4 linked regions of the Lepisosteus oculatus genome follow. The protein of the gene in region 2 interacts with the protein of the main gene of each other region in a pairwise test. Links are inferred from orthologs where the notes say so. Each region holds a gene or a part of one and is shown on either strand. Other genes may lie near its edges.

Region 1 (7,867 bases), on a different chromosome or scaffold from region 2:
TTACAGGTAATAGGACTACCCTCCACCACCACCGCCACATGGATGATGTGACGGCAGCCATAGTGCACCAGTACACTCCCCATACACCAGCTCTCAGTGGGGAGGAGAACAGAGTGATGAAGCCAGTTCAGAGATGGGGATTATTAGGAGGCCATGATTGGTAAAGGCCAGGGGGGAACACCCCTTCTCTTTTCATGAAGCATCCTGGGATTTTTAATGACCATGGAGTGTCAGGACCCCAGTTTTACACCACTTCATCAGTTTTACGACCCTACTGGTCCCACTAACACCTCTTCCAGCAGCAACCTTAGCTTTCCCAGGAGGTCTCCCATCCAGGCTCACACCTGCTGAGCTTCAGTGGGCTGCCAGCTGTGAGCTCCAGGGCGAGTTCCAGGGTGCTGGCAGCTATCTCCCTGTGATAAATCACAGTTATCTCCCTGGGGGTGGGAGTTTTAATTGTTACAAAATTGTTAATTATTTTGTCATAGCAGTCTAGCAAGAAAAGGGCAGCTACAGTAGCCCTGGCTCATTTTGTTTCTATCTGAATGTCCTTTAAAATCTTATGTATAGCCTACAGTATAGTATCCCATTTGGGGGATACTGCACTGCCATTTTCATGAATTTAGTATAATACCACAATGTCTAAAACCTGACAGAATTAAGATTAAATCTCTTACATGACATGTTATAGGACTTGCATTTAAATACTAAAAAATAACAACTATAAATAACTACTAAAAAAAAACTACTAAACTACTAAAAAAAAAATAACTACTATTTATAGTACAAAACTATTCACAGTATTTAAGTTCACAAATCAGGTGAATTTCTTTCATTAGTTTCTTCATTGCACTATACAGAATGTCCTGGGATCCTCTGATGCTAAAGATAGCCCCCAGCCTCAGTTGTGCCAGACACATTGGGTTCACAGGCTCTCAGGCTGAGCATACCTTGAATGTAAATGTGTAGATTCAGCTTTCCAGATCCCAAGACTCTGCACTGTATCAGTAGATGCACAAGACTATGGAACAGAATTTCTGCAAGCACATTATGATACAGGTACATTACCAAATACAACAATACTAGTGTAATAAGCAAGGTACTTATATGTATCAAACATATACACTCTTACCTACATGTACGTTGATAGTGCTGTTAGTCCAGTGTAATAGTAAGTGTGCTTACATGGTTGGTAATGTACAGTACCTGGACTATAAAGTGTTTATGGATTTGGGTTGTTTATAGAGTTAAATGAGACTGAGTAGACTTTCTTCAACATTCACCAGGGGGCAGTGCACTTACTTTCCTATGATGATATACTGTTTCAAGCACTTGAGTAAAACTGGTTATGATTTAGTGATATTGATGCAACAAGTTCTCAATTGTTCCAACAAGAGAGCACTTTCTCCGTGGGATCACCCTGCCTGACTCTCTGTTAATTCAGTGTTGAGGAGTTTACAGATAATTATTGCACAGAAGTAAACACAAGCTTTGATTTGTCCCTTATCAGAAAGCTAGGACTGAAAGAACTGTTTTTTTTTTCCTGGTAAAATATTCATTTAAATAGATTTGCGATACCATTTAAAATGATTGCAAAACCGCAGAGAAACAGCTTTTCTGACTTGTGGTTTTGAGCGGAGAGGACACAAGGGCTTATTCTGGAATGTGACTTAGTTATGATAGGTGCTTCTGTTGGGGCACATAAATTGATTCTTAACCTTCTTAACCATGAGGAGACCTCAGAGGTAACCTTATTCACACAATAAAAGAAATAAAGGCCATTCTATATCTGCTGTCTTCAAAAGGAACCCATAATGAAAAGAACAAAGCTTAGATGCTTAAAATGAACACTGGCCACCTTATTAAAAAAAAAAACTCTGATTGCATAGCAAAGTGCATTCATCATTCCAGAGAGACTGAGAGAGACAGATGCAATCTCACTAGTGCAGAGTTTTCCAGCAGAATTCCAACTCCAGGTCTCATTTACTCAATTGAAATTCAACCGTTGCTTTGCTGGGAATATATAAGATTTTTCTCTGCTCTTTTGCTTTTGATGACTTTAACAATGGCCTTGGCTCCTGACGGTTATTGAGGCACACGTGATGGTCAAAGTGCCCCAGCTGACTAAATAACGAGACCAGTTTGGAAACAGGACATTTGACTGGAAAAAACTCTGTTTCTTTTCAAACCCCTGAGCGTCTCATAAGCCTGTCCCTGGATATACTGGCAGCCAGGATTCCCTACACCTGTACAAAGAACACAGGTGGGACTACAGTATATTCTCCCTATTTCCTCTGTGGCCAGACTGATGCTGGGCCGACACATGATGTACACGAATAGTGAAGGCTCTTCAGTCCCCAGTCAGAACTCTTTTTATAGTGCGTGACTGTGAGCTCTCTCTCTCCTGGCTGCAGCCTGGTACTATTAATGTTCGACTGGGAGGCCATTTTAAGCTCTCGGCAAATTTATTGCAAGGTGCACATATAAGCTTTGATGTTTGTGTATCTCTCAGGGAAAAAAAAAAGGTCATGCTTGTGGAGCTTTAAATATGACAGCACCATTTCATAGTGAAGAAGTGTGGACATTTGTGTATGCAGTACGCTAGAAAAACTGCACACCTTTTGTTTCTGGGTTCCAAAAGTCAAAAGCTGACTCAGAAGACAATGCAGGACTTCAAATACAACCCGATCGTGCCAACTTAAAACTGAACTACTGTACAATACGTTGTTGTTCACTATCTCGTATTTATTGTTAACATGTTTTATTTTTACTGGTTGTTTATTGACTGTATATATCATTATTATATACCGTTTTGTAATGTACTGTCTACGTCGTGAGGTGTCTACTGTCGTCTGCTGCACTGTGCACTGTACTGTATGTCCCGGGTGAACGGACAATTAACATGTCCATATGGCAATAAACTCATCTGCTCTGCTTGAAAGGAAATGTACTGTACTGCATGAAACCTTGTTAATTATTTGTCGTGGAATTATACTCAGGTGTGGTAAATCTGAAATATTACGAACAACAATATTAATAAGGCGATTAAAGTAGTCACAAAAAAGAAATCTTTTTTTTGTGCTCTTTGCAAGAAAGACTGCTTTCTTGGCAGTCTCGTGCTATTGATTAAAAAACGTATTCAAATACGTTTCCTAGGAAATGTATCTTCCTCTAGTCAAATAAAAAGGTCCGTGCGAATAACGAGCCATTTATCCTTTTTGAAAAAGTCACTATCGTCGCTTTTCTTCCGTTTCTCCGCGCCTGGTTTCTCTTACACCAGGTGACGGAACCAACGCTTTTTTAAATTCAGAAATGCCGAGCTTCTGGAAAGCTGTGAATTGTTTAAAATGTATTATACTTAAATATTCATGGCAAGGATGAGTGCTGTCAGGCATAAATGAACACAACTCGCTTATACATTCCCTGCACAACACAGAATTTTTCAAAGTTAAACACGCCGTTAAAAAAGATCCTTCCAAACTAAGGAAAATAAATTCGACTTCTTTGCGTTGTTTTGATAAAAAAGCTTAATAAAATGTCTTTAAATAATTTAACTGAAGTGGTAGCTGAAAGACGTGTTCGGATGGATTTTGTTCACAGAAACAAAAGTAAAACAGTGGCAAAATTCACACGAAACGAATATATCTACATGGGTTTTCCAAGACCTGTCAATATTTCAGAAACAGTTCCGAACACCTAAGATACTAACTATACATCACTTGACTTGCGGGCAGACAAGATGCGCGGGAGAAGGATTTTTGAGATCAAGACGGTCTCATTCAACGCTGTGTGCCTGTCTACACGCTGGCAAGTTTAAAGACAAAACTCATTCACAGAGGTTCGGATTAACGAGTACAATACAATACGGGATACAATACCTAAAATATCACCGCAGACTCGCCTGGTTAAAAATAAAGAACAGCTATTCTGAAAGTAATCATAGAATGGGTAGCCAACGGCTTCCAATCAATCAATTAATCCCTAGTTTTGCATAGCACCCTTTTCTGAGCACAATTTAACATCTAAAATCAGATACAAAAAACATTCAAAACAACCTGCAACAAATATGCAGTAACAAACAAGCCAATATACAAAAGCAAACAGAAAAACGGGAAAATAACATTAAAAAACAACGATCCTCTCAGGAATTAGAACCGGGAGATAATTGTCCCTGCAATTTCCCTCACGGGATCAATAAAGTATCTATCTATCTAAATACCACTTTCTCGTGGACAAAAAGCTTTTTCAAAAGTCGCACTGACTTTTAGTCACACTGTGGATTCAAAACAAACACTCCATTTATTAGCCCCTGCAGTTTCAGGTTAGGACTTTCAAATGTTTTTTTGTTCACGAAATGAAAAGCTTATTTTCACATACATACTGTATACAGTACTTTCCTTTGACCTCAGTAGGATTAATCGTCCCATTGACAAGGAAACTTGGGGCAGACTTGATTCTGGGGGGCACAGAAGTTGTTCTTAGCCTTTTGTCACGAGTTTCAACGGTTTAGAAAATTAAGACAGTCACCCCAATCAGTCAGACAGCCAGCACAAACCGAAAGAGAGACACAGAGAGGGAAAGTAAAATCTGTTCTTTTGCATTTGTACTTCTTCCTTCGAGACAAGACCATAACAGACTGATAAGCTATAAGAAGCTGAGCTTTTTGACATATGCAGCACTTTATACTTCCTCTGTTGATTTGGTTCACAGACAGAAAGTGACCAGTCCGATGTTTCACACAACAGCCTTTAGCGCTTTGCCCTCCTCGCCTGCTCATTGGCTGCTGGAAATGATGTCATCGCCCACCCTTACTATAAGGTTCTGTCAATAGCCTGCGAGCACCATCCACAGCCAGGAACCTGCATACTGTATGTGCCAGACTGCAACGCAGCCTCTGAAAGAGTGGGACAGAAATGAGCAGAGGAGAGTGCGACAGGGCTCTTTCGGGAAGTGTCTAAACAGATTTCGGACATCAAAGAGCAAAGGAATAAAGCTGATTGATGTGGGAGAAAAGAAGAAGACAAGAGCACAGCAGGAGAAGGTTAGTAAACTTTCTCCCCCCCTTTAATAACTAAACACCTGTTTTATGTTAAAAAAGCACAAGCAAAAAAAAAAGTGTTTTGTTTTTTATCGGCTGCCCCCCTTGTCTTTCTACCGTTTAAGCGGTCCATTTATTGACCCGTCTGTCGCTGTTGCTGTGGTTGTTTCTCAGACCATGGACCCTCTCAGTAACAGCTCCGCGTCCAACTCGAGCAGCCCTGAGCACAGCGAGGCGTCGCTGGTGGCGTTAGGCATGCTGTTGTCGCTGCTGGTGCTGGGCATCGTGTTTGGGAACATTCTGGTCATCACCGCCATCGCCCGGTTCCAGAGGCTGCAGACCGTCACGAACTGCTTCATCATGTCGCTGGCCTGCGCCGACCTGGTCATGGGCCTGGTGGTGGTGCCCTTCGGGGCGTGCCACATCATCCTGAACACCTGGCACTTCGGCAACTTCTGGTGCGAGTTCTGGACGGCCACGGACGTCCTCTGCGTCACGGCCAGCATCGATACCCTGTGCGTCATCGCCCTGGACCGCTACCTGGCCATCACCTCCCCCTTCCGGTACCAGTCGCTGCTGACTAAGTGCCGGGCCTGGATCGTGGTGGTGGCCGTGTGGCTGGTGGCCGGCCTCATCTCCTACCTGCCCATCCACATGCAGTGGTCGGTCTCCAAAGACCCCGAGGCCCAGAGGTGCCTGAATGACACCCACTGCTGCGACTTCAACACCAACACCGCCTACGCCGTCACCTCCTCCATCGTCTCCTTCTACATCCCCCTGGTGGTCATGGCCTTCGTCTACGGCAGGGTGTTCCAGGAGGCCAAGAAGCAGCTCAAGAAGATCGACAGGTGCGAGGGCCGCTTCTACGTCCAGAGCGGCCTCCCGCAGCAGGAGAGCAGCGGCGAGCCCAAGGGGGGGAAGGCGCCCCCAAAGAGGGCCTTCAAGTTCTGCCTGAAGGAGCACAAGGCCTTGAAGACCCTGGGGATAATCATGGGAATCTTTACTCTCTGCTGGCTGCCCTTCTTTGTGCTCAACGTGGTGGAGGCCATTGGCCAGTTCCAAAACACCAAGCTGACGTTCAAGATTCTTAACTGGATAGGGTATGCCAACTCGGCCTTCAACCCCGTGATCTACTGCAGGAGCCCCGAGTTCCGGCACGCTTTCCAGGAGATCCTGTGCCTGAGGCGGTCGCCTTTCCCCACGCTGGGCCCGCCCAATGGTTATGTTTACAGCGGACACAGCTGGCAGAACGACCCGCAGGCAAAGGGCAGATCGAGCTCGGAGGACAGCGTCACCCCGGAGGGGACGCTGGCCAAATGTCGGGGTCCCCTCTCCGGGACGGACACCAACGGCAACTGCAGCAAAGCTCTAACGACTGTTGTATAACTCGCTGACTCCCCCAGGGGGAAAAGGGGGAGTTTTTTTTTGGGAGGGGGGGGGGACACATTTTATGAATGTGTTTGAATGTACAAGTGGGGAATGCAGGGGGTGAGACTGTGGGCGGGGGTGGTGGGCGCCATTGAGTGGGTTCTGCTAAAACGAAAGGAGCCCACTTGATCACATTCGCTCTCACGGCGGGAGAGTGGGTCTCTGCAACTTTAAATTTCATTTCACCTACCTCATTGTTTTTATTTTTAATTTTTTAACGAACTAGGGACATTACTTCTTTTTTAACGAATGCAAGAGAGCAATGAAGCCAGGCTTACGTTCTTACAACGAAAGAAAACTCCGGATCCTTTCAAGAGCGAAGAAAAAGGAAGGGCTCTTTTTTTATTGAAGGACAAACGTGAAAACGGTACCATAACAGTATTTAATTGACGTCTGCCGACCATGCTAGCAAGCGGTTTTGTAGAGTTCAATATGTTTTGCTCCAACAATGAATTATCTTGGGGGGAGTCGAGGGTAAAAGATTCAGAGTGGTGTCTCGGGCTGTCTAGTCTCAGGATTTGCACAATGTGGAAGTGCAGTCTTAACTTTTAATCACTCACTAAACAGGACGTCAAGGACAGTGCACTCGCGATCGAGTTTAAATCCGCCTTTGACAAAACTGAAGAGAAAACAAAAACAGGAAAAAAGAACTATAACGAAGTATACTCAAATTATTAGCTTGCACAGCATTCATCTCGTCCGCATCTTCAATACATTCCAGTTTCATTTTGTGGAAAATTTAAAGCGAGGCTTAATAAAGCGCGGCGCTGTCGACTCTGCTCCCCAACAGTAACCCAACACTCAGAGGGAAAATAACAGGTGCAAAGCGCCGCTCTTTCCGTTTAGGAGGAAAGGGCTGCAAAACAGTTGAGCAATGCTCTTCGACAGTTACAGCCCCCGACAGCTTTTCTGATTGGTAATACTCTTGAAGGTTAACCCCGTTTTGTCTTGTGGCTGCGGTGTGTTGAGTTTGCCGAGACTCCCATTATGGGGTTCAAAGCTGAATCGAACCCAGTGCAGGGGGGAAGGCAGTCCGGTCTGGAAGTCAGCTAACAAAAAAAAACAACCCAAGGCGAATCCAGGCTGAATTCCAGCTGTAGCCGCTGGTGTAAAGTGTAGATACCAGAGGCGGTATCGAGGTGTAGTGGTGGGGTTTCGGATTCCCATCTAGAAAGTTGTGGTATCAAATCGCAAGGAAAAACACGCGAAGTACTTCACCCAGATCGCAGCAGTGAAATGCTCGGGTGTGTAAACAGAAGTTGGTCTTTGCCGATACAATCGTTAGCCAATTAAGTTAATAAAAGCAGATGAAAGTCACTCTGACCATTCTGTAACTACAGTACAGCCATTACCAGACAGACAGCACTACCGACTGTTTCGACTGCTACTATTAAAAAGCAC
Region 2 (7,855 bases):
CAGTTATGACTTTACTTAAACAGAACATTTCCAGCTCTACAGCACAAAGTGTTTCTCATTAAAACACTAATAAAATGAATGCATTGTTAGGAGGTAAATTTAAGAAACGTACTAACAATCCTGATTAAAACAAGGAAACGCACATACACAGCGGACATATTGCTGCAGTTCTTAACATTATCAACACGCACAGAATATGATAAGGAACCAGCACATGATACAAATGCAAAAGATAATGTACTTTAGTCCCACTCTTAACATGGACAAAATCTGAACAAGACTGTGCACTAGGCAACATGGGTGTATCTGACAAAGATCAAAATCAGTATTTTTAACACTATTGCCTCAAGCCTATAAAAATTGGTTTTAGTCTTTTAAATCTCATTTAGAAACCCATTTGCTGTCCTAATTTTAAAGGAAGACTGTTCCAGATTCTAGGGGCTCTGATAGAGAAAGCCCAATCTCCCTTTGTAATGTAGTTAATTGACAACCTCAGGACCAGGACTGGACACCCTGCAGACACACTGACCACCCAGGACCAGGACTGGACACCTGCAGACACACTGACCCCCAGGACCAGGACTGGACACCCTGCAGACACACTGACCCCCAGGACCAGGACTGGACACCCTGCAGACACACTGACCCCCCAAGACCAGGACTGGACACACTGACCCCTCAGGACCAGGACTAGACACCTGCAGACACAATGACCCCCCAAGACCAGGACTGGACACCCTGCAGACACACTGACCCCCCAAGACCAGGACTGGACACACTGACCTCCCAGGACCAGGACTGGACACCCTGCAGACACACTGACCCCCAGGACCAGGACTGGACACCCTGCAGACACACTGACCCCCCAAGACCAGGACTGGACACACTGACCCCTCAGGACCAGGACTAGACACCTGCAGACACAATGACCCCCCAAGACCAGGACTGGACACCCTGCAGACACACTGACCCCCCAAGACCAGGACTGGACACACTGACCTCCCAGGACCAGGACTGGACACCCTGCAGACACAATGACCCCCCAAGACCAGGACTGGACACCCTGCAGACACACTGACCCTCCAGGACCAGGACTGGACACCTTCAGACACACTGACCCTCCAGGACCAGGACTGGACACCCTGCAGACACAATGACCCCCCAAGACCAGGACTGGACACCCTGCAGACACACTGACCCTCCAGGACCAGGACTGGACACCCTGCAGACACACTGACCCTCCAGGACCAGGACTGGACACCCTGCAGACACACTGACCCTCCAGGACCAGGACTGGACACCCTGCAGACACACTGACCCCCCCAGACCAGTACTGGGGAAGCTCTGATAGCACTTTCCTCATCACAGCCCCCAGCATCTACTCTGCCTCCTACTTCACAGGTGGATCTTTCCCTCCTCCGCAAACTTGATTTGGAATTCAAATCAGCAGCCAGGTGAGCCGGGCCTGGAAAACCACAGACACCCCCCCATATACACACCCACGGCCCTCTCCCCCGAGCCCTTCCTGGGAAAGATGAGGAACATCCCCTGCTCTCCGGCCCGGAGCACCGAGGCTGTGCCCAAACCTCCCGGACCGGATCCACAGCCTCTTCACGCACGAGGAAGAGCAGAGACCCCAGCGATCTCATCCCCCACCCGGGGCCGACTGTGCCCCTATCTCACGGGTCCTCCTGAGCGGTCCTCACAGCTGGACCGCTGGTAACCCGAAGAACAGCAGACCTTTCCACAGACCCTCACGGACGCGCCTGGAGAGAAAGAGGCCACCTCTCTCTACCCTCCTTTCCACCCCCGTCACGGACACGCAAGAACACTAGAGGGAAATGCAGAAGAGAATCCAATTTTCTCTGATGAGGTGAATACTGCGGATGCGGGGGAGAGACAGATACACACGGTCCCCATCTCTCTCGGGCGGCACGTCAGGACGCCAGGCAGCCCCGGGCGCAGCGCAGACTGCTGGAGCTGCCGGGTTTTTATAGTTGGTTCCTCTCTTGCGAGACACGGACCCGGAGCGATTTCCGTCGTAGAGAGGAAAACAAAACCCCTAAACAGAACCGCCCCTTGCCGAGGGATGTGCAGCTGCATGCGCCTGTTTATAAAGACGCACACTCCCGCATACATGTCCGTGTGCGTGGGTATCGAAATGTAAACTACACGTCAAACACCACGTCACGACATCGCAAGGAGATCACAAGGAGACGGGCACAGCGCGGCCACCAGCACCGGGAACCCAACCTTTCACATTTCCACCCCACGTAGCCGATACTCTATCTTCCCAGGCGCTGGAGGAACACGGACGAAGGCGTTTGCTTGAGGTCACGCCAGCCAGTCTCGCCACAGACACGCAGGTGACACACAAAAAAAAACACGCAGCTCCTCACCTAGAGAGCCACGACCCCAACGGCAGCAGGACGGAGGCGCTGTGAGGGACACAGTCCAGAGGAGACACGGGCGGGCAGCGACATTATTAATGTTATTATTAAGGATTCCGCGCCACACCAGCCACCCACGGCTACCGTGTCGTGTTCACGTCTCTTCCGCAGCGCGCTAGCGAACAGGAATCTCAGCGGCTCATTTTCACTCCCTTTCTCGAGGGTGTGCGCGCGCGGGGGGGTTGCCTTCTTTCGCTTGAACGTCCACGGCAGTACCACCGCGAAGCGCACCGTCGCACCCGCCCTGGCGATTTAAACTCCCCTCCAGCTCCGCTCCACGGCGGCGGCTCGGCGCACGAAGCGCTGCGGGGGTAGGAAATGTCTCCCTTACCTGGTTCCCGCCTTGTCCCCCATCGCCGACCGGCTGAGTATTTTTATTCTTGATTATTTTAAGAATGCGCCCTCCTCCTTCGCTGCCGTTGTCGCTCGCAGACTTACACACTCGCTCGCTCGGGTTGTTCCCCTCCTCCCCTCTCTCTCTCTTTCTCTCGTTTCCGCAGCCAGCAGACGGAAGAACGGCTCGACAACCTGACAGCCGCCCTGGCCCCGCCCGCCGTCACTGACGGACAGCCGCGTTAGCCAACCGCTCGCCTGGAACGACAGCGCCGCCGACCAATCGGAGCCTTCCGGTGGGAGAGCTGTTCGCTCGCCTAAGGAAAGCAAAGGTTCCCGCCTCGACTCCCGTGACATCATCGCCCTACAAAACTGTATTATTATTTACTCTTCTCGCAACAGCCAGTCAAAATTTACCGTTCGGGAAGAGAGGCGGTACTGCCTCTTGATGGACAGCAGCAGCACCCAATTACAGCGCACGAATTTGTTTACGCACTTCGGAATACGATCTTAGTGTCTTTGGATAGATGTTTTTAACCCGAGGTGCAGAAATTAATGCATCGAAAATGGTTTGTTGGATAGAGTTGGTGTGACTGTAGGTACCCGTGAGGGAGCGAACGGATGGGTGCCTAAAGTTGGCTGAATTTTCAGTGCCTAAATAAAAAATGCTCCCCCGGTTCTGGGGGTTAATGAAGCCTTCAGTATTTAGGGGTTTCCGTAGCACGCTCGCAGTCTGTTACACGTTAATTTTATGTAAATATATATTTTTTTAATTAAACGTTAGACTGTTCTCTGCCTCCTCTGATATTTCCGGAGGTGAAACTTCTATTTAGGGCTACCGCGGCGAGTGCGCACGCATTGCACTAATGAACAGGAGGACAGAGTACACAAGACTGATGTGATACAGCCGTCAGCCCGAAACGATTTCTCACATGTGCAGATTATGATAAGAGTCTTCAACCCAGGTACTGAAGAGACCCGGTCCAGTCAGTACAGGAGTCTCCAGCCCCGGTCCGGTCAGTACGGGGTCTCCAGCAGAGACACATCCAGCCCTGCTCCCATAGAGACTTTGTCCATGTCTCTGTCTCCAACAAAACAGGATCGTTGTTTTTAATAATTGTGATAAAACCCACTGGCAGGACCCACTAATACAACGCTTTGTGAGTTGTAATATTACTGTGTCTCTCCTGTTCTGGCTTTCAGTTGATTATGTGAATCACCTGTAATGGCTACATTAACACAGATTTCACTGTATTCAGCATAACTGCACTACTTGTGTATATTGCATGCACCATGGACACATAGCAGCTCTACTCATTGAGTTTCAATTTCTATTACATCTATTATGTAACCTTATTTTCATAACCTCATTTTTGTGATTTTTGTGAGCTCACAGAAAAAATAAATCATTGCCAGCAACTACTGCTGCACGCTGTAGTGTTGTGCATTTGATAAATAAACTTTGATTTGATTTGATTGGATGGTCAGAGCTCTATGTGGCTTGTCTCCCCGGTCGATGTGTTGTCTGTCGGCTCCCCTCCATGGGACCTCTGCTCAGCTGATTCTGGTTACTGTGTCTCCCCTGTGTTTCATCAGCACTCTGGGGGTGACAGGGTCTGGTGTCGCTGCCCCCAGAAGACATCAGGGCTTCAGCGGCAATGGGTGCTTTCACTCTTCTTTATGTGATTCTCTGCACTCTAATGTGCTTTGTTGTTTTTCATTGGATTTGAGCGGTGATGAGCAGTACGGACTTTGAAATGAGCAGATGAGACGGGCAGTTCCCCAGTCGAACTCTCAATTCAATTCCATTTATTGTTCTCTAGCGCCTTTCACAACAAGGTTGCTGGAGGAACTCCCCAGTGTCCTTGTGCAAGAACATGAGACGGGTGGCAAATGAGAGGCAACCATCCGGCCCTTTTGTTTGTTATCTGGTGATTGATCCCAGGATCTCATCCTGGCGTTTCTGAGTGGAAGTCAAAGTATCCGTTTACAAAATATGGCTTGTTCCACACTCCCACCGCCCTTGGTGGACAGACGTGCCTCCTGGTCTTAGTTTTAAATGCACCTCCAGTGCGTATACAGCCTCCCCATGGGACAGATGGCTGCTGAGGACTTCTGTGCTCAATGCTGTGCTGTGCAGTGAAATTCCAGGAACGTTTCTGGCCTCCTTCCAGCTCACTTAAACTCCCACACATCCAGCTTATCACTTCTCTTCAGTGCAGCCTAATATCACAGCTGGTGACTCTGCCCTGTAACAAACTCCATGTACAGTTCCCACATTCTCCTGACAGATCCATCCATTTTTGAATCTGCCTTATCCAGTCTAGGGTCACGGGGAAGCTGAAGCTTAACACAGTAAGCAATGGGTACAAGGCAGGGTACACCCTGGATGGGACGCCAGTCCACCACAGGACACACACATTCCCACCAGGGGCATTTTTCCCATATGCCACTTAATCTACCAGCAAATCCTCCGGAGCGCTGGAAGGGACTTTGGGAAATCCCTGTTCCTTGAGCTCCTGCTCCGCAGTTTCAGAGCCGGGACAGGGAAATGGCATGGCCAAAAGCAAGTGGTAGGGCTTGGAGGGACTCTTTCATTGTGTAAATCCATCCACTTGCCCTGATTGATAACAGACAATCACCTGAGTGAGGAAGTTTTTATGTCATGTGAGTCTGATTATCTGTTAGAAAGTTTACTACTGTGAGATGTGTTTGTGAAAGGTTATTTTGATAAAAACCTCCGGAGCACCTGGAGGAAACCCATGCGAACACGAGGAGAACATACAAACTCCACGCAGACAGCACCCTAGGAAATGAAGGCAGGGCCCCAGCATTGCAAGGGAGCACTACTCACAACTGAGCCACTGTGCCGCTATCTATTGGCTGATGATCTGGATGAAAGGTGCTTGTAGCGACCCCTAGTGGCTACACTGTCACTGTCATCACACTCCTCAGCGCTCTGGCCCAGGGTGGCCTTGGCCAGGTTTGCAACAGGCTCACACACACAAAATAAGACGAGTGTCCAGCGTTATACTTTGCTAGCAGTCTGTCTAGGAATGCACACTGGAGAGCATATTAGCAAACAAAAAGACAACATGCGTTCGTTAATTACCTAATTAGCTACTGACCTTTTTTAATGATGAAGAGAAGTGAAGAGAAGCCTGAAGGAGATATAGAGGACTGGGCTGACAGAAAGCTGTCCCACCGACTCGGTGATACATTGCTCATTGTATTACAATTGCACTGCACTGATTCCTGGACAGCGAAACTGGACACAGACAGACATCGCTGTCCAGAGAGGACAGGCTCAGGGACCACAGACTGGACAGAGAAACTGGACACAGGCAAACTGGGCTGTCCAGAAAGGAAAGCTCAATGATCACAGATGGGACAGAAACTGGACACAATGTGAGGACAGGCTGTGCTCCTACTGCCAGCAGGGAGATACACTTTCTACTGCACTATGAGTAACACTCAAGAATTAGACATTCTTCCCTTAAATAAATATAATCCCAGAATTCCCACAGCTGCTAGAATCAGGTCGCTTTCCTATCCCACTGTGACATTGATGAAGACTGTAGTCAGTGTTGGAGACTGTAATGTCTTCTGAGATTTACTGGGGTCTTAAACCCAGTTCCTGGAGGATCTAGTTCTATCTAAATTTGTCCTAATTATTTAATTAAGTGTTGAAATAAAAGAGTTCCAACTTGACTGCGAGCTGTTTTATAGTTAACTGCTCCTTTAGCAAAGTGATGGGGTTCATATGACCTCTGAAGGTCTGGTCTGTCGTATGTCCTCTGGAGTCAAGGAGAAGTGGCTGGGAGTCTGTTCCTCTTCCTCACCCCCCGGACAGACAGTGGACAAGATCGAAGTCACGGATCACAGTGTTACCTGCTGGGAATGGGGTCACTGGGAAGGAAGGAGGATCAGATTTGCATTTCTTTTCCCAAATTTCTTCTTCCTACCAGCCTTTTCTGAGGACGTCTGCCTTGGTGAGCGAACTGCTACAGAACAAGCCAAACAACTCAGCAGGGTAAGAAGAAAAACAGGTTTTAATCATTGGCTTCACATCAACAAGGCTTCTGAAAAAAAAGCATTTTGTTCTTACAAAAATTCTATAAAACAACGTGTTACAAAATTGTGCTGCTTGTTACAATACTGGAATACAGCTGCTGTGTAGTGTTTTTTTATTTTTTTTGGGGGGGGGGGGTCGACCACTGCGAGGTCCAATCAGAGGGTACCCTCCTCACACGCGGGGCTCAAAGACTGACTCGCACACCAGTGCAAACGGGCCAACGGCTGGGCCCGAAAAGGGCAGAGTCTTTGCAAACTCCTGTCCGCTGAGGCTCCTTCACAGTAACATGCACCCAGGTCCCCTCTCCCTGTCTGTGCCCCGTCTGAACCACACAGGAAAAGCAATCGATAAGAGGAGATCCTGTGCCGAGGTAGAAGGAAGCTGTGTAAGCTCGAGTCTCTGAGCCCCGCAGTGCAGCACAGGAAGAGCCTGCACCTCCGCACACACGGTCACGGTTCGCTGCCCCGGTCCTGTAGGAACCCCAAATCTTCTGGTCTGCTCTCCATTCGAGATCTTCATCACTGGCTCTGACTGGGGTAGGATTGTAGATTTGCTCTTAGCTCTTACGAGGCCAGATAGGATTTGAAATCTGTATTCTGCACTGTTTTCAGAACTGCCCTCATTGAGCTGTGTTTGCTGAACATGTATATGATTTGAGCTGCAGAAGAAAGGCTCATTGTGGGTATGTCTGATAAAGAACAACTCCCACTGTGGTTGTTTCTGATATACGCACACCCACTGTGGGTGTGTCTGATATGCTCACAGTAAATCAGACACCTGTGAACAAACTGAAGGAACACGTAAAAGAAAAGTCTAGAGGCTCAAGCAGATGAGTGAAGGCAGCAGTGCTGGAGGAGCAGAGCTCAGCTGGAGTGAAGACCAGCAGGCGGTGCTCCTTCAGGGCCGGAGGCAGGGAACTGCTGCTGTTAAGGAGGTAACTGCACCGTGTGGCAGAGACAGCAGACAACTCTCACACGTCAAGTAAGAGGGCTTCCCA
Region 3 (7,170 bases), on a different chromosome or scaffold from region 2:
TTTTATTAAAATGGAAAATGCATTATCTCAAGCTGAAGTATTGCAAAGTTGTTATGATGAAGCTTTTAATAAGTGAAATGCAAAGCAATGAGACAGTAGCATAACAGACATGGGCTCTTGCTGAGCAGAAGTGTTTCGATATGACAGGAAAAAAGGACACTTGTGGAAAGAACTCTATAATAATTGCTTACACTTATATAGCGCTTTTCTGGACAATCCACTCAAAGCTCTTTACAGGTAATGGGTACTCCCCTCCACCACCACCAATGCGCAGCATCCACCTGGATGAGGAGACGGCAGCCATAGTGCGCCAGAACACTCACCACACACCAGCTATCAGTGGGGAGGAGAGGAGAGTAATGAAGCCAATTCATAGATGGGGATTATTAGGAGGCCATGATTGGTAAGGGCCAATGGGAAATTTGGCCAAGACGCCGGGGTTACACCCCTACTCTTTTCAAGAAACACCCTGGGATTTTTAATGACCACAGAGAGTCAGGACCTCAGTTTTACGTCTCATTCGAAGGATGGTGCCTGTTTATAGTATAGTGTCCCCGTCACTATACTGGGGCATTAGGACCCACACAGACCACAGGGTGAGCGCCCCCCTGTTGGCCCCACTAACACCTCTTCCAGCAGCAACCTTAGTTCTTCCCAGGAGGTCTCCCATCCAGGTACTGACCAGGCTCACACCTGCTTAGCTTCAGTGGGTTTCCAGTTGTGAGTTGCAGAGTGATATGGCTGTTGGCAACACTAGATAGATTATTTAAAAAAAAACTTGGGAAGGATAGAGCATGAGACTTTATTTAATAGTACTACTGTATGTGGTACTGTAGAACACATTTATGAAAGTTAAGCAAATACAGGTAAATCAGGTACATTTTCTAACCACTTCTTCCAATTCAGGGTCACAGGGAACCCTGAGACAATCCTGGCAAGCAGCAGGCGTAATGTGGGGTACACACTGGAAATTAAATATATTCCCAAAAGCCAATTTACGTTGTTAGAGTAAAAAGAAACCCACGCAAACATTATAAAATCCACACAATAGCACCTCAAATCTGGAAAGGAATCCTTGGCCCCAGCCCTGCGATGCAACAATGTTCACTACTGCGCCATGGTATAATCCTACATGTAAAACTCCTCTGATTCACTATTACATGCCAAAAGACCTTTCATGAAACGTTCAGCTGATTTTCTACTGCACATGAAACTGACAAGATTGTAAAGCAATCTTAATAATACATTGGTATACTGTATTGTATACTTACAGTACATGTAAAACACCACTTCAGGTATGTCACATCCTATAAAACCTAAAAGTACCAATATACTGTAACAATGTTTATCTTTGGTATGTTTACCTCTTTGGTATGGACCCTTTAAAATGAAATGCAGACAGCAAATGTTAGTCAGCATGAAACAAAATGTTGCAATGTCATCCTTATAATATATTGTACTTTACATAATGCTCACAAACTCTGATTTCAACCGCTGCTTCTATACAAAAAATGATAACGTTTGTTCCTACAAAAAAAACAGCCACCTTCCCGTTCACAGCTAGCAGAGTTTCTAAACTACCCAAGGAGAGCAGGAATTTTATAGAAGAGGAGTGTTTAGTAGTGACACATTTAGTTAAACCGGTCTGAAGTGATGGAAAGTAATGGATAATTCATAGTTTTGCAAATTCAAGGACCAAGCGTCGCATCACCTCAAAGCATCAGCTGAAGTCCAGATTTCTGAAAACAAGTCTTTATGTTAAAAATATAATGATGATACTTATAGTTTTTTAGCACAGTAGGTGCTCAAACATTCCAACCAGTAAAAAGAAGAACAGCGCACTTACGTGACAGAACAGTAATAAGAGAAGGAAGCTAAAAAAAAGGCAGTGTAGAATCATGAAAAATGGCAACATGAATGCAGGCCTGGCCACGATAAGCCGGTTTCCAGACTATTGTAAGGTTCCACACCGAGTATTACCCGTATATCCGAGGAGGAAGTAGTTAGAAGGACATTGCCAATTAAGTAGCACTTGAAACAGGATAAATGGAGAATAATAGAGTCTCTGAAACAGTCTTAAATAAATGGGCGTGCCCCTAAGATAGCCAGGTATTCTTGCTCTGTATGTGGGCGAATAACCTGGGGTGTTAACTGCCTGCAGGTTCAAAAGCAATGGATGTCTAATGTCTAAGTAATTTGCTATGGTCTTTAAATAAAAGAAATCCCTCCAGTATTTGGCAACAGAGCACAGCTTCCCCGTAGCCTTTTCATTAGGTACTAACTTCAAATATTGCAGCTTCCAGCAGCCATGCAACACCATCGGCTTTAAACAAAAATCATCTGTCTCTGTATTTTTTTTATTTTAAAGCCTCCTGGGAACGATGAAGCTGTCAATTCCGCCCTAGAAGGCACATAGAGTTCCCGTACTCCATCATTTAATCAAATACCGACAGTTTGTAGGCTTTCTTTTTGCAGCTGGCAGCCAATGAGTCATTCTGGAGTAGTTTCATTGCATCATTACATACTCCCTCCAACAGCCTGTGTTTTAGAGTAAGACCACAAATTACAGCCTAGGCCAGATATGCGAAATATCCTACAGCAGGGAGGACCTGTCGTGTCAATTCCGCTTCTCGGTTAATATTCGGCCAATTCTGCAACTTACAAGCCCCCGGTCTGACTCAAGGGCCCGGTCTGCACCCGCCTCCCCTTTCACTTCTGGTAAGAACTGCAGCAGGAGCAGCGCATGCAAGCAGGCGAGCTAAATTTAATTACACCTACCTTCTCACTTCGCTTTCTCCCCACAGCACTCCCATGCACGACAAACCCAAGAAGAGGGGCTCCGGGGCTCAACATTCACGAAAATCCAAGGTATCCAAGGCGGATGCGTCAAATGGAGAACTCAGCTGTCAGCCGCGAAAATACACGGTCTTTCTTCCTAGATGCCGGATTTCTAGGTCCTGTCAATGGCATGACTGGGGCGGGGACTTGTCGGCACAACAACCCGACTGCGGGCAGGAAATATGCGTGACGTCATCACGCCAAAGCTAGAGTGTGGCGCGTCAGCAAAGCCAGTGGGAGCTGCGATCGTTTAAGCCTGTCTGGCGGCTGCCTGCTGGGGGTTTGTTGCAATGCGACCTGATTACCCTTCTTTCTAAAGTACAACTTTTAAAGTTTTAACAATAAAAAAATCTTTCGAATCCTAGGGATCCACATTGTAGTACCTCTGTAGACGGTGGCTTTCTGAATTGAAAATGAATACACTGTTTCTATAAAATGCTGCTGGAAATGCAATATGCTGTATACACTCATCACTGGAAATGGAAAATCACTCGAAAACTTGAAATATAAGCGATACATCAGTATTAATATGAATAAAGTATCTCCATCAAGATCGAATTCCGTGAGTTGTACAATTCCAAAAAGTATTCGGGCAGCATTTTTTTCCTACTGCTATAATAATAATATCATCATTATTATAAGTACATCGTCCACCCGTCCATTTTCTAACTGTTTCTTCCAATTCAGGATCACGGAGGAGCCGAAGTCTAAACTAGTGAGCAAGGGATGCAAGGCAGTTTACAAGGATACCTGTGCATCCCAGAGGAGACACAAACACACACTTACTCAAACCTGGGCTTAATTATACCCCAAAGCCAGTTAGCCTACCAGTATGTCTTTGGACTGTGGGAGGAACAGGAACATCTGGAAAAAGCCCACGCAAACACAGGGAGGGGGCATACAAACTCCACACAGATAGCACCCTAGGTCCAGAACTGAACCTAGGGCCCCAGTTCTGTGAGGCAGCAATGTTAATCACTGCACCACTGTGTTGCCTGCGTAAATATCTGTGTAAACGAAAACTTTACAATAACTGTACATGATTTTGAGATTTTGTGTTTAGTGTAGAAAGTGTTCAGTATAAAGCCACACATACACAATTTGAATTAATGTGGGGTGAAGTTATTATACAATTGATTCAGTATAAGGCACATTTGTATGAATTACCTACTAGATTTATTTAAATGTTTATGTATCAAATTGGTAGGCTTCCCACATAAGTGGTTTCTAATTGGTCTGGCTGGTTGGAGGAATTGGTCTTTCCACTGCTTTGTTATGCAACTGAAAAGGTTAAATTGTTTAATTGGGAATACTGTACTTAAGTACAAAACTGATGACACATGCCCTGCAATGGACTGGCTTCCTGTCTAGGGTGTATCCTGCCTTGTGTCATTGCTTTCCAAGATTTTGAGTTGCTCCAACACCCCTGCAACCCTGAATTTGAAGAAGCAGTTAGAAAGTGTTTGGATATCATGACAACAGTCCCATGGCAGAACGCAGGCATTGTTTATTTATTCAAAGTTTTAAGTAGTATACCTCCCAACCTTATGTTACATATGAAACTAGAGTTAAAATGGGCATATAACAGTAATTTGGATAAATAGCTATAATTGATACCATGTCCGTTCTGATGAATTTAGATGAAAAAATAAATTCTCTGTATTCTGTGTGTCAATAAATCTATCCATTCATCTTCTCACAACTTCTTCAAATCCAGGGTCATGGGGGAGCCATATCCTATCCTAGCAAGAAATGGGTACATGGCAGGGTATACCATGGATGGGAAGCCAGTCTATCATAGTGCAGACACACAGACACCAGTCCATGATAGGGAACACACAAAATGTCATTATATAGGTGCCTTAAATATGTACATTGAGATAAATGTGTTAAGTTCAAGTGTGCACGAATACTCATTTGTGTATATACCAATGGACAACAAAAAAAACAAAAGTCTGCACCTTATGTCTATAGCTCATTAGGTAAATACTGTACATTATTTCACTTTCATTTGAAACAGTGAGAGGATTGATTTGTTGGCTCTCTAATATTACCCCTTGAGAAAAAGTTCAGGTCAATTTGATTTTATAAATACCAGCTGCTCAGTGTTTGTCATTTTAGTTGAATTATTCATAATTGCCAGAATGGGTTGGTTAAGAACCCAGATACATATGCATTCAAAAAATAAAATTGTAAATTAAGGAAAGAGCAAAAACAGATACAAGCATGCCCTGTCCAAGTGATTGTGGGTTGATCTCTCCATGATTAAGGGCCAACCTGCTTAGAAAATGGGATGGTCTGCTTCAACTATCAGCAGACCCATTAGCAGGAAACAGGAAACTAGGTCTCAGTTGCACAAGATTAATACTCCAGCTCAAAACTAACACATCTGATTTATCTGCATAATCAGAGTTTGGTTTCTTTAGGGGACCCTGTACTTTTCTGAGGTTCTGAAATCTAATTTTAAGATCCCCCGCTCTATTAGGTATTTTTGGCTTTCGATAAATAATACAAGACTTAAATTAATAGGGATTATTTCTGATCCAATTACAGTTACTAATTACAAGTAAATATGGTCTAGTGAGGAGCTGCATCTTTATACCTCTACTTGATTTTAGGGAAATACAGTATATATGTAGCTAGTGCTGGCAACATGTAACTATACCACTTTGGTTAATAATCTCAGTCTGTTTAAGGACGTTCAAACCAATTAAACCAATTCTATGACAAGCATAAAGATATCAAACCAGGGCAATTTAAACATACATTTTATTTTGCCTTTTTCTAAACATTCATAGATTTTGAAAGTCCTCCATAATAAAAACATATAAAATATCTTTTAAAAGGCCATTGATCTTCATCTTTAAAAAAATACCCAAAAGCATCACTCACAGTTTTACGTAGCATGACAACACAATAACAATAATATACATGTCAAGTACTTTTGGTAAACAATAACAAACCACTTTGATTTTAGCAAGCCTGGAAAAATAATTTACCTTTTTATAAATTCATAAATAATCTAAAACACATGATACTAAGACATCTTTGTTAAAAGATTTAGCAGACTGGAATACATATCTGGGGCTCAATGCAGACTTGTGTTTTACAGTGACAATACTGCCTGTGCCAAATAAACTATAGCAAAGGCTGTTGTCAAATGAGAAGACATGTTTCATACCTCCTCACCACGGTCTCTGCAGCACATATATTCTGGATATAAATAAAGCTACATTAAAATACATACAGAAAAAGATCAATAGATCATGCAATCTGATGTTTCTTCACTTAATTTGGTATAATTATTGCATATATGAATCTTCTGACGATACACATCTCTCTGTGTATCGACTGAAAACAGTAAGCACTTACTTTCATTCTAGACCAAGTCAGGCCTTCTCTTGCTACAGTGGTTTGAAATTAAGGCTGGGGGTGTTCAACCTGACTCTTTTAGTTGTAGTGGAGGAGAGTGTTAAAGAATGTTACAGCATGGGAGTCACAGCATGGCTAAGCCTCTATCGTACAGAAGCTCCGCTTTATAGAGCACCATGTGCTTAAGGGTGGACCACTGCTTTTGATGTTTAAATCCTCAAGAAAACATGCCCACACTTGCTCCCATTATTGTACCAAAAAGCAGACTGATGTACGGCTACATATTGATTGGAACCTGTGAAAGTTTATGCCACTGAGAGCAGAGGATATAGGCGTTATACTGTATGTTATGAGATAGCTTTGCTTTTAATTTAGGATGTAATTTCTATTCTGAAATACATTAAATCCTTCCCCAAATTCATTCCCCTAAAATGTAGATCATCTGCATAAAACCAGAAACATTTGGCCCTCTTACATTAAATATTGCACAGTATTAATAAAATGTCAATCTAGGAACTACAAGTAAACATCACATTTTCTTTTCCTTATCACTCCTATGGCAACAGGAGTACATAAGGTTAAGGCACAAAGTAAATTAAAAACTGCATAGTGTTGCTACATTGAAGTGTCAATGTACTAGTTATTGCATTGGCTGGATCAAACCTTGTAAGTCCTGTATCAATTATAGTGCTGGAAGATAGAGAAAAAGCCTGATCCTAGAAAACTTCAATGATAGTCTGTTGTGTTTCAGTTTTATGTAATATATAAATACATGTAAATATCTATAAACATATGAACATACATATAAACACCCAAGACCGCAAACGTTCTTCTTCATTATCTTCCCTCCAATAATTTCCAGTTTGTTGAAGAATATTACTCCACTGTGACTGATTTGGCAAGATTCCGTGGACAGTCAACCTAAAATTTAAAGAGAAATAATGTTAAACATTGTTTCAA
Region 4 (7,249 bases), on a different chromosome or scaffold from region 2:
GAAACCTTGACATAATATTTAATAATAGGTTTATGTTTGTTGTGTAAATTATGGGGAAATGTGTACAAGAAAAAGATCCAGTTTTTCTACATTAGAACCACAGATTGAACTTACACTATTAAATAAATTATAGCTCAGAAGAGCAAGCCTGCAACCTCTGTGTTAGAGAAAGCAGATTCTACTAGGACGCAGTGGGATTTAACTATGTTCCTAAAGTGCAACAGACTGTAGTGATCATAAAAAAGACATTATTCACTGGGGGGGATCTAGCATCTCTCAGCTCTGCTATGTATGTTTTGTTCCCTCACTGATGTAAAACAATTAAAAAAAAAACTATTTCTTACCAAAACAAATGAGACTGCTGTTCCCAGAGAGACAAAAAAAGACAGAATCAAGTAAAGAAAACATAATTTAAAAAGCATTAGACTCTATCTTTTACCTAAAATTACATAATAAAACAATTGCACAATGCTTTGTGTCTCAAGGTAATTGATATCCAGAAAATAACTTAGACAAAATGAAACAATTTTAGATGGACACTTGTTATTTTCATATCGGAGGAGGACATACATACTGTAATTTTGCAAGCATTTTAATATGCAAAGGTGCTCCAAGATTCCTCTGCCAAATAAAGCCCGTGTGGAATTCCAAAACTATATTTGAGAAAAATACATTTTCCATACCTATATATTCTAGATTGGCACGTTCCGAACTCAAATCAGCAAATTAAGAACATATAATGCTCTGGAGCATAGAACTTTTAAAACTCCCATATGAATAATTCATAACTAAAATTATGGATACATTTTCTATGTTTTTCTCTTTAAAGTTCCCATGAACATGTTCTCTGTGTTTGGAGAACAGTAGTACAAACTCAAGTAAATACTGTACATCTGTAGAGCTACAGTGTCCTTCTACTTTGTCTGACAGAGAGCCACCCCTGACAGATTTTACTTCCATCCCTAATTGAGCCCCAAATGTGAGGCATTCCATCCGGTAATCTAATAAACTTTGAGCAGCATATTTAACCTCGCCTTAAATGTTTATGTTAAAGCACATACAGTATGGGATTTATTAGTGGCGTATATTTTCTATTATTGAATCATATCAGAAGTGTATTGACAGGGTACAAAAAGCATGAATTTATTGTACTTGCATACAGTGCGTGCTTTATAGAGTAAAGAAAATAAAGTTTAGAAAAAAGAAACAAGCAATTAGGCATTCTGTTACCTGATGCAGAAGAAATGTTGCTCCCAACAACACATCAAATATTGAAAGACAAGTACATATTAAGACGTATGTCCTGTTGAATAAAAAGAGACAGTCAGAACACCAGTATCTCACAATACACAGGCAATCATTACTTCATGAAGAATATTCCATCTTTTACTAGCATTTAAAAATAATTGTTAATTGCATACTAAACAAAAATCTTGTTTCTTTCTTGAGAGTTCCTAATTTTTGTTTTTGGTAATTTTTTGTATTGTACTATTTTCCAAATGAAGTGAAACAAAATTAAAAAAACATCAACCCAAAACAGCACTTTCAGAAATACCTCTTGCACTTGAGAAAAATGCTTTTACCTTATCGTGAGGAAAGGTAAGTGCTCCGGTGGTGCAACAGACACTGTCAGAGTTCTCTGGCTTTCTGGAGATGAACGGACCTTATGTAAGTTCGCTGGGCAAGTAAATCGCAAGCTGACTCTGCACACATGTGGGTTGTAGAGCTGGTTTATCTCTTCATCAGTTTCTTAGCTCAGCCCCCACAATCTGTACTCAAGGCACTGCCCTACTCCCATCTGGGGAGTCCTTCACCGACCAGCTCTTTAATAGCTCTACGTCTTTCCTGCAAGCGACATTTTCCCAAGCCATCTAATAGAGCCCTGATAATTGGGGCTTAGAGAAGTTTTATTAATAGAACTGTCACTGGCACTTCCCTCTCTGTGGCTTGGGTGAGTGCGTTAGGAAATTGGTCGCAGATTCCAATTGTTACTGTGTACATCCTGTGTGCATGTGAAAGTTGTTTTTTTGGGATGGCGGACCAGCTGTTACTTAACAATCCCCCAGGGAGAGCGAAGGGTATGACTTGTATTATAACAGGTACAAGTAAACCTTCTGCTTTGTCGCTTTCCCACTACACTGCTCCCCTATTCCTGCTGATCACAATGTTGCCATCGGCTTCATAACCCTCTAGTCTTACTGTGGTAAAAGCTACTGGTTAGTAATCAGTACATGCACTCCAGTAGGACTGAAGAGTTCAACCTAGCATATGGATTAGTTTCTTTTTTGGCTTGAACAAGGAAGATCTCTCCTCTCATCTCAGTCAGCTAATCAAAAGCTTCCAATTCAGTTTCAGCTCACAGCTTAAATTTAGGATCTCAATATTTTATTAAGTGACAGTGACTGCCTTGTTTTTTATATTAAAGAACAACTGTACCTTTAATTGTCAATTTCATACTTTAATTTTTTTTGTCAAATGCACTTTAATAATTTATCATACCTCCCATTTACATAATTTATCATACCTCCCATTTCTTTTCATTAAGAAGATTTTTTAGTTCTTTCCTTTCGGTAGAAACCTGGCTACGGTGCAGCCCTTTAATTTCAGGACTTTCAGTGTAATGTTAAAAAGATGAGGTACCCCTATAAATTATGCAAGGTACTGTACAGTATATTGAATCCTGTTTTCACAAACTTACTAACAAGTGAATGTTTTTTGAACCCATTTTTAAGCATGCCGCCTGACTGCCCAGTTCTGATTTGCTTACTTTAAAGTGTCACCGGAAGAGCTGGGCTGTGTTTCATCTAATCGTCCCAAGGTCTGGGTCCCCAAGGGTAATTCCAAAATCAAGTTTTCAGACGGCTATCAAGGCTTGATTGCAGATTAGATTAGAGAAAACCAAGCCTGTAACAGACTAGAAACAGTCGATGAGCAGGGGTAGAACTGTAAAGGGGGGCAACATACTGTATAAAGATGGACATATAGTCTGATAACACCAACATTTTGGATGAAATTCAAACAAAACATTAACATAAATACTTTAAGAAAGTATTTTGTTTTCATGTAGAAATGTGTGTGTTTGATCAGATTGATAACAGATGAAAACGTTTTTTTTTTCCCTTAATGGCAAAGAAAATTATTCTTAGACAATGTATAGACTATTCCTTACCTACGCATAGAGAATGGTATCAATAAATACCCATCCATCCATTAACTAACTGCATGATCCAATACAGGGCGGCGGGGGAGCCCGAGTCTATTCCAGCATGCAACAGGCACAAGGCCGGACGTGACCAGAATGAGATGCCAATCTATCGCTGGGCACACGCAGACACAAACATGCACGTACTTACTCCGGGGCTAATTTTCCAGAAGCCGATTAACTTACCAGCGTGTCTTTGAACTGTGGAAGGAAAGCAGAGTACCTGGAAGAAACCCACGCAAATAGCACCCCAGGCATGGAATCAAACCCAGGGCTCCAGCTCTGCGAGGCACCAATGCTTACCACTTTTTAGATTTTTTTTTGTCATAGGTCAAAAAGAAACAATATTTCTGTTTATTATTGAAAACTTTAATTTTGGCCAATATCTGTTACGTATGTGTGTAATAAGTACTATGGTACCCTGTATGTTTTTTTTCTCATGAACTAACCTTCTGTAACACCTAGAAGAAGAAAGAAGAAGAAGAAGAAGAAGAAGAACAAAGAAGAAAGAAGAAGAAGAAATGAATAGTTATATTTACATAATGCTTTCCATCACAGTGGATAACGTATAGGAGGTGACCCATTTTATGCGTCACTGTGACGTCTGGCAGCTGAGTACACAGCAGTTCAGACAGAGAAGTGCGAAAGAGCTTCACCATTTGAATGAAGAATTTCAGGAGGCCAGATGGCGGAAGGCCAGAGCGGAGTTAACTGGAGTTCACACCTCCTGCTCTAATGAACAGTTCCATGGGAATCTGAAATGACCAAGCAGTCAGGACCTCGGGTTAACATGTCATCCAGAGTGGATCACCTCCTATAGCACAGCGGATTTGGCCATTAGCTAAGGACCTGTGGACCGGAAATGAAGAGCTCGTCCAGTAGCATCGCTAGCCGCAACAACCTGGTTTTCTTACAATGTCTCCCAAGTTCCAGTCCTGAGCACAAATATTTGCAAAGTCGCATTTCTATAATGTGATTGCTCGATCATCTCAGTCCACTTGATTTTGTTTAATGTTAAATTCTTTTTAATTTTCCTGATGACAGATGAAAACAGCCAAACGGGTTTTACTCCGATCCAGTTGTCACACACTGCTTTCAAAACCCTGACACAAATAAATGTACCATAACAGGAAATGGGAGGAGCTCACTGGATCAAAAAGTTTAATGTCACTGACAGATTAGTGTGGTATTCAGTTACACTGTTTTGCGAAGTAAAAAAAAATCAGAGAGAAATATTCACAAAAGAATCAGAACATGTTTTGCTACTGACATTACGTAAATGTTTAATTTAATTGCTTGTCCCTGATCAAGGATTGCTGTAATAATAATGTCAATAATAATGTTTTTTTTTATTTTTACAGTTTCAAAATGATGAGACATTTGAAGTTAGAAGCACACAAACATTATTCCGTTTTGGTCTTGTGCACCTGCTGATGATGTAAAGGTGTCACCAGACAATAAATGGACTGAATTAGATGACTATGATAATATATTGTTGTAGAACCTTAGCCTTAGTGTGAATCCCAAGGACAAATCTTGTAACAATACTCTTTGTCTAGTGCCTCTGTCAAAATGTTAACATTGCACCTGGGACCTGAACACAATTTTGATTATAGGCCACAGGATGAAGGTTTATAATCTGATAGTCATTGATAAATAGGATAATCATGATCATGGGATTTTAGGCAGGAGTTCAGTTAATTTAAAGTAGCTGATATTTTCTTCTGTAGTGTAAAATCTTAATGAAGCATACTGTATATTCACAGTAAAAAATAATTGTATACTTTTTCCCTACTCATGTGCACAGTGCCTGTACATATAAATATGCTGGAGAAAATATTTTATCATTAAATGCACTAATTTGTTTTCAAGATGTTTGAGCTGAAACATATGGTATGTATAGTTTTTAAATCATTCCACAGCCCAACGTATTGACAATATGATAGTAACTGATGCTAAGTTAAGTAACAAATTTGATATAAGACTGAAGGAGGTATCTAGTCAGTATCACTGCATGTGGAACAGATTTTGATTGGCTCCTATAATATACTGACATACAATGCAAATAATATCTGAAACAACTATAAAACTATCTGATAGCTTTCAGTGCACTGTATATGAAAACACTGTACCGTACATAGTAGCAAGAATTTATTTAGGTTGTTTCTAAGGTATGGCTGCAAATTGTGTTTATCAGCTTATCATTTGGCCACTCTAGAGAGCATGAAGGTAATTGGCAGCTCCTGACATCTGATGCATTACTAGCCCAGAAGCAGCAGCAAAAAAAAGAAATAAGATTGAATAAACGTTACTGATAGCCAACTATCACACTACACGTGTCTTCATTTTGCTTTGTGTCCTCGTATGCAGGCATGGCAATCATCAGGTACTGAAATCTATTTTCTGTGGGAGATTGGCACACAGGCCAGGGTGCAATTTAGTTTAATCAGATTAAAAAATAGCTATATTTATATACTATTATTTCATAACAGTATTGTTAGAATTCTAGAAATCCTTCCAGTTATGAAACTCAAACATAGGGGTAAGTTAAAAATATCGTTTTTCTTGGTATTAACAAAAAATTCACTACACCTGGTGTTTCTTTTCTATTCATTCTTATTTGTCTTTCAATATATATGCTCTATTGCTGTGATGATTAAAAAACAAAACTTGTATGTTTGCCTATATTCTTCTAGAGTTCAAGAACAATACATACTGTACTGTATATGCATGCGCTTTAGAAATAGTGTGTTCATAAGCAATTTAACTTATTTTGTATTTACTACACATTGTAATTGTCAAGGCATTGGAAAACGTTTTTTTTAATACTTAATTAAATAATCAAATAGAGTGTCTGCTGTATTCAGGCTCAGGCACTTACTGATTAATATCATAATTCACATAATTTGAGAGAAATTGAAATGTAGATAAAGATATAAAAATATTTTCAAACAAATATTTGGTTGAAAACAGGATGTAATTCTAGACCCTGACCATATGGCGCCATTGTTTCGTAGCTGAAAATATAGTCAAAACATTGTTTCCTGATTTCATAAGCTGATCTGTCAGAAAGACAGAATGTAGTTGAATTTAAGATAACCATACTCCATCCCCCAAAAATAATAAAGTGTGTCCATGAATGTAATGCCACTGTACTTAATACCCAGATTCACAAAGTACCAATAAATCTACTTTGCAAAAATTCATTAATTAATCCCTAAATATTTATGTTAACATTACTGTACAATGAACCATTTTTTAGCTAAAGGATTTTACATCAGTATCACAAAATAAAATTAAAATCAACAAAAAGGAAAAATCTGTGTCGTGCTGTGATGTGGTATTGACCTTTAATTGGATATGAGGCAGGTGTTTTGTGAAACCAGCAATATCTAGTAAGTCTGTGAAAAAAAAGGGGTTGCGCTTTTTCTCCAGAATTATTGCAGCTGTCATATAGCCTAATGAATGGATGTTGTTTACTGTGTGTAATGAGTTCAGTCAGTCTTCAGCAGTCCTTGTCTATTCACTTGAAACAGTCCTAAGGAAATGAGCTCAATATCATTTTTGGACAGGGAAATAAGCTCAATGGTGACAGGGAACTGAGGACCACTGTAGAGTCTGAAGAATCCATTTACAGAAATCAGTCAACACAGAACCTAAGTCAAGGGAAGGGAATCACTTTTCTCCCTGGATCTGAAGATTGCTCACTCTTTTAAATTGAAACTAGGGGGTTGGCAAATACAAAACAACATAGCTTAGTCCTTAACACATATTACCAGTTTTCTGAAATTGTAACAGAAAACCAATGATTTTTCAGATTAATTTCAGACTAATTCTAGAGTCAAAGTAGTTCAAGCAGGGAGCTGTGGCAGCATGCGTAGGCATGTAAAGTAAAGGTTGACTCCATGCTGAAAAGAGAAGAAAAGAAACAAAACATTTTGGCACGTGGAGCCTTCTTTGTGCGTGAGTTGCCAGATTTGGAGTTGCTGGCTCTAGAGCTGTCCTTCTAAAAGGAGATAGAAAAGCTGACCAGTAAACTAGCTGGTG

Evidence for each region.
Region 1: the proteins of arrb2a (region 2) and adrb2a interact in binary tests that used the Homo sapiens proteins (3 or more experiments, as listed by UniProt). The link is inferred for Lepisosteus oculatus from reciprocal best matches to the Homo sapiens genes ARRB2 and ADRB2.
Region 3: the proteins of arrb2a (region 2) and mapk9 interact in binary tests that used the Homo sapiens proteins (3 or more experiments, as listed by UniProt). The two-hybrid records come from large-scale screens. The link is inferred for Lepisosteus oculatus from reciprocal best matches to the Homo sapiens genes ARRB2 and MAPK9.
Region 4: the proteins of arrb2a (region 2) and type-1 angiotensin II receptor interact in a two-hybrid assay, tested with the Homo sapiens proteins (2 studies listed by BioGRID and IntAct, with this or other methods). The link is inferred for Lepisosteus oculatus from reciprocal best matches to the Homo sapiens genes ARRB2 and AGTR1.

What each region holds. Positions count from the first base shown.
Region 1 is NC_090706.1:28,678,965-28,686,831, forward strand, and holds the start of adrb2a (adrenoceptor beta 2, surface a), read left to right. Parts: upstream 1-4,855; 5' UTR 4,856-4,870; coding exon 4,871-5,041; intron 5,042-5,212; coding exon 5,213-6,424; 3' UTR 6,425-7,867. UniProt on the Homo sapiens protein: Beta-adrenergic receptors mediate the catecholamine-induced activation of adenylate cyclase through the action of G proteins. The beta-2-adrenergic receptor binds epinephrine with an approximately 30-fold greater affinity than it does norepinephrine.
Region 2 is NC_090698.1:12,348,704-12,356,558, forward strand, and holds the start of arrb2a (arrestin, beta 2a), read right to left. Parts: upstream 3,004-7,855; 5' UTR 2,805-3,003; coding exon 2,782-2,804; intron 2,762-2,781; exon of another isoform or gene 2,103-2,761; intron 1-2,102. UniProt on the Homo sapiens protein: Functions in regulating agonist-mediated G-protein coupled receptor (GPCR) signaling by mediating both receptor desensitization and resensitization processes.
Region 3 is NC_090706.1:23,084,262-23,091,431, forward strand, and holds the start of mapk9 (mitogen-activated protein kinase 9), read right to left. Parts: upstream 3,021-7,170; 5' UTR 2,779-3,020; intron 1-2,778. Other genes in the region: gfpt2 (glutamine--fructose-6-phosphate aminotransferase [isomerizing] 2), read right to left, coding at 7,087-7,131. UniProt on the Homo sapiens protein: Serine/threonine-protein kinase involved in various processes such as cell proliferation, differentiation, migration, transformation and programmed cell death.
Region 4 is NC_090708.1:14,881,439-14,888,687, forward strand, and holds the start of type-1 angiotensin II receptor, read right to left. Parts: upstream 3,019-7,249; 5' UTR 2,768-3,018; intron 2,090-2,767; exon of another isoform or gene 1,648-2,089; 5' UTR 1,584-1,647; intron 1,304-1,583; 5' UTR 1,231-1,303; intron 362-1,230; exon of another isoform or gene 345-361; intron 1-344. UniProt on the Homo sapiens protein: Receptor for angiotensin II, a vasoconstricting peptide, which acts as a key regulator of blood pressure and sodium retention by the kidney.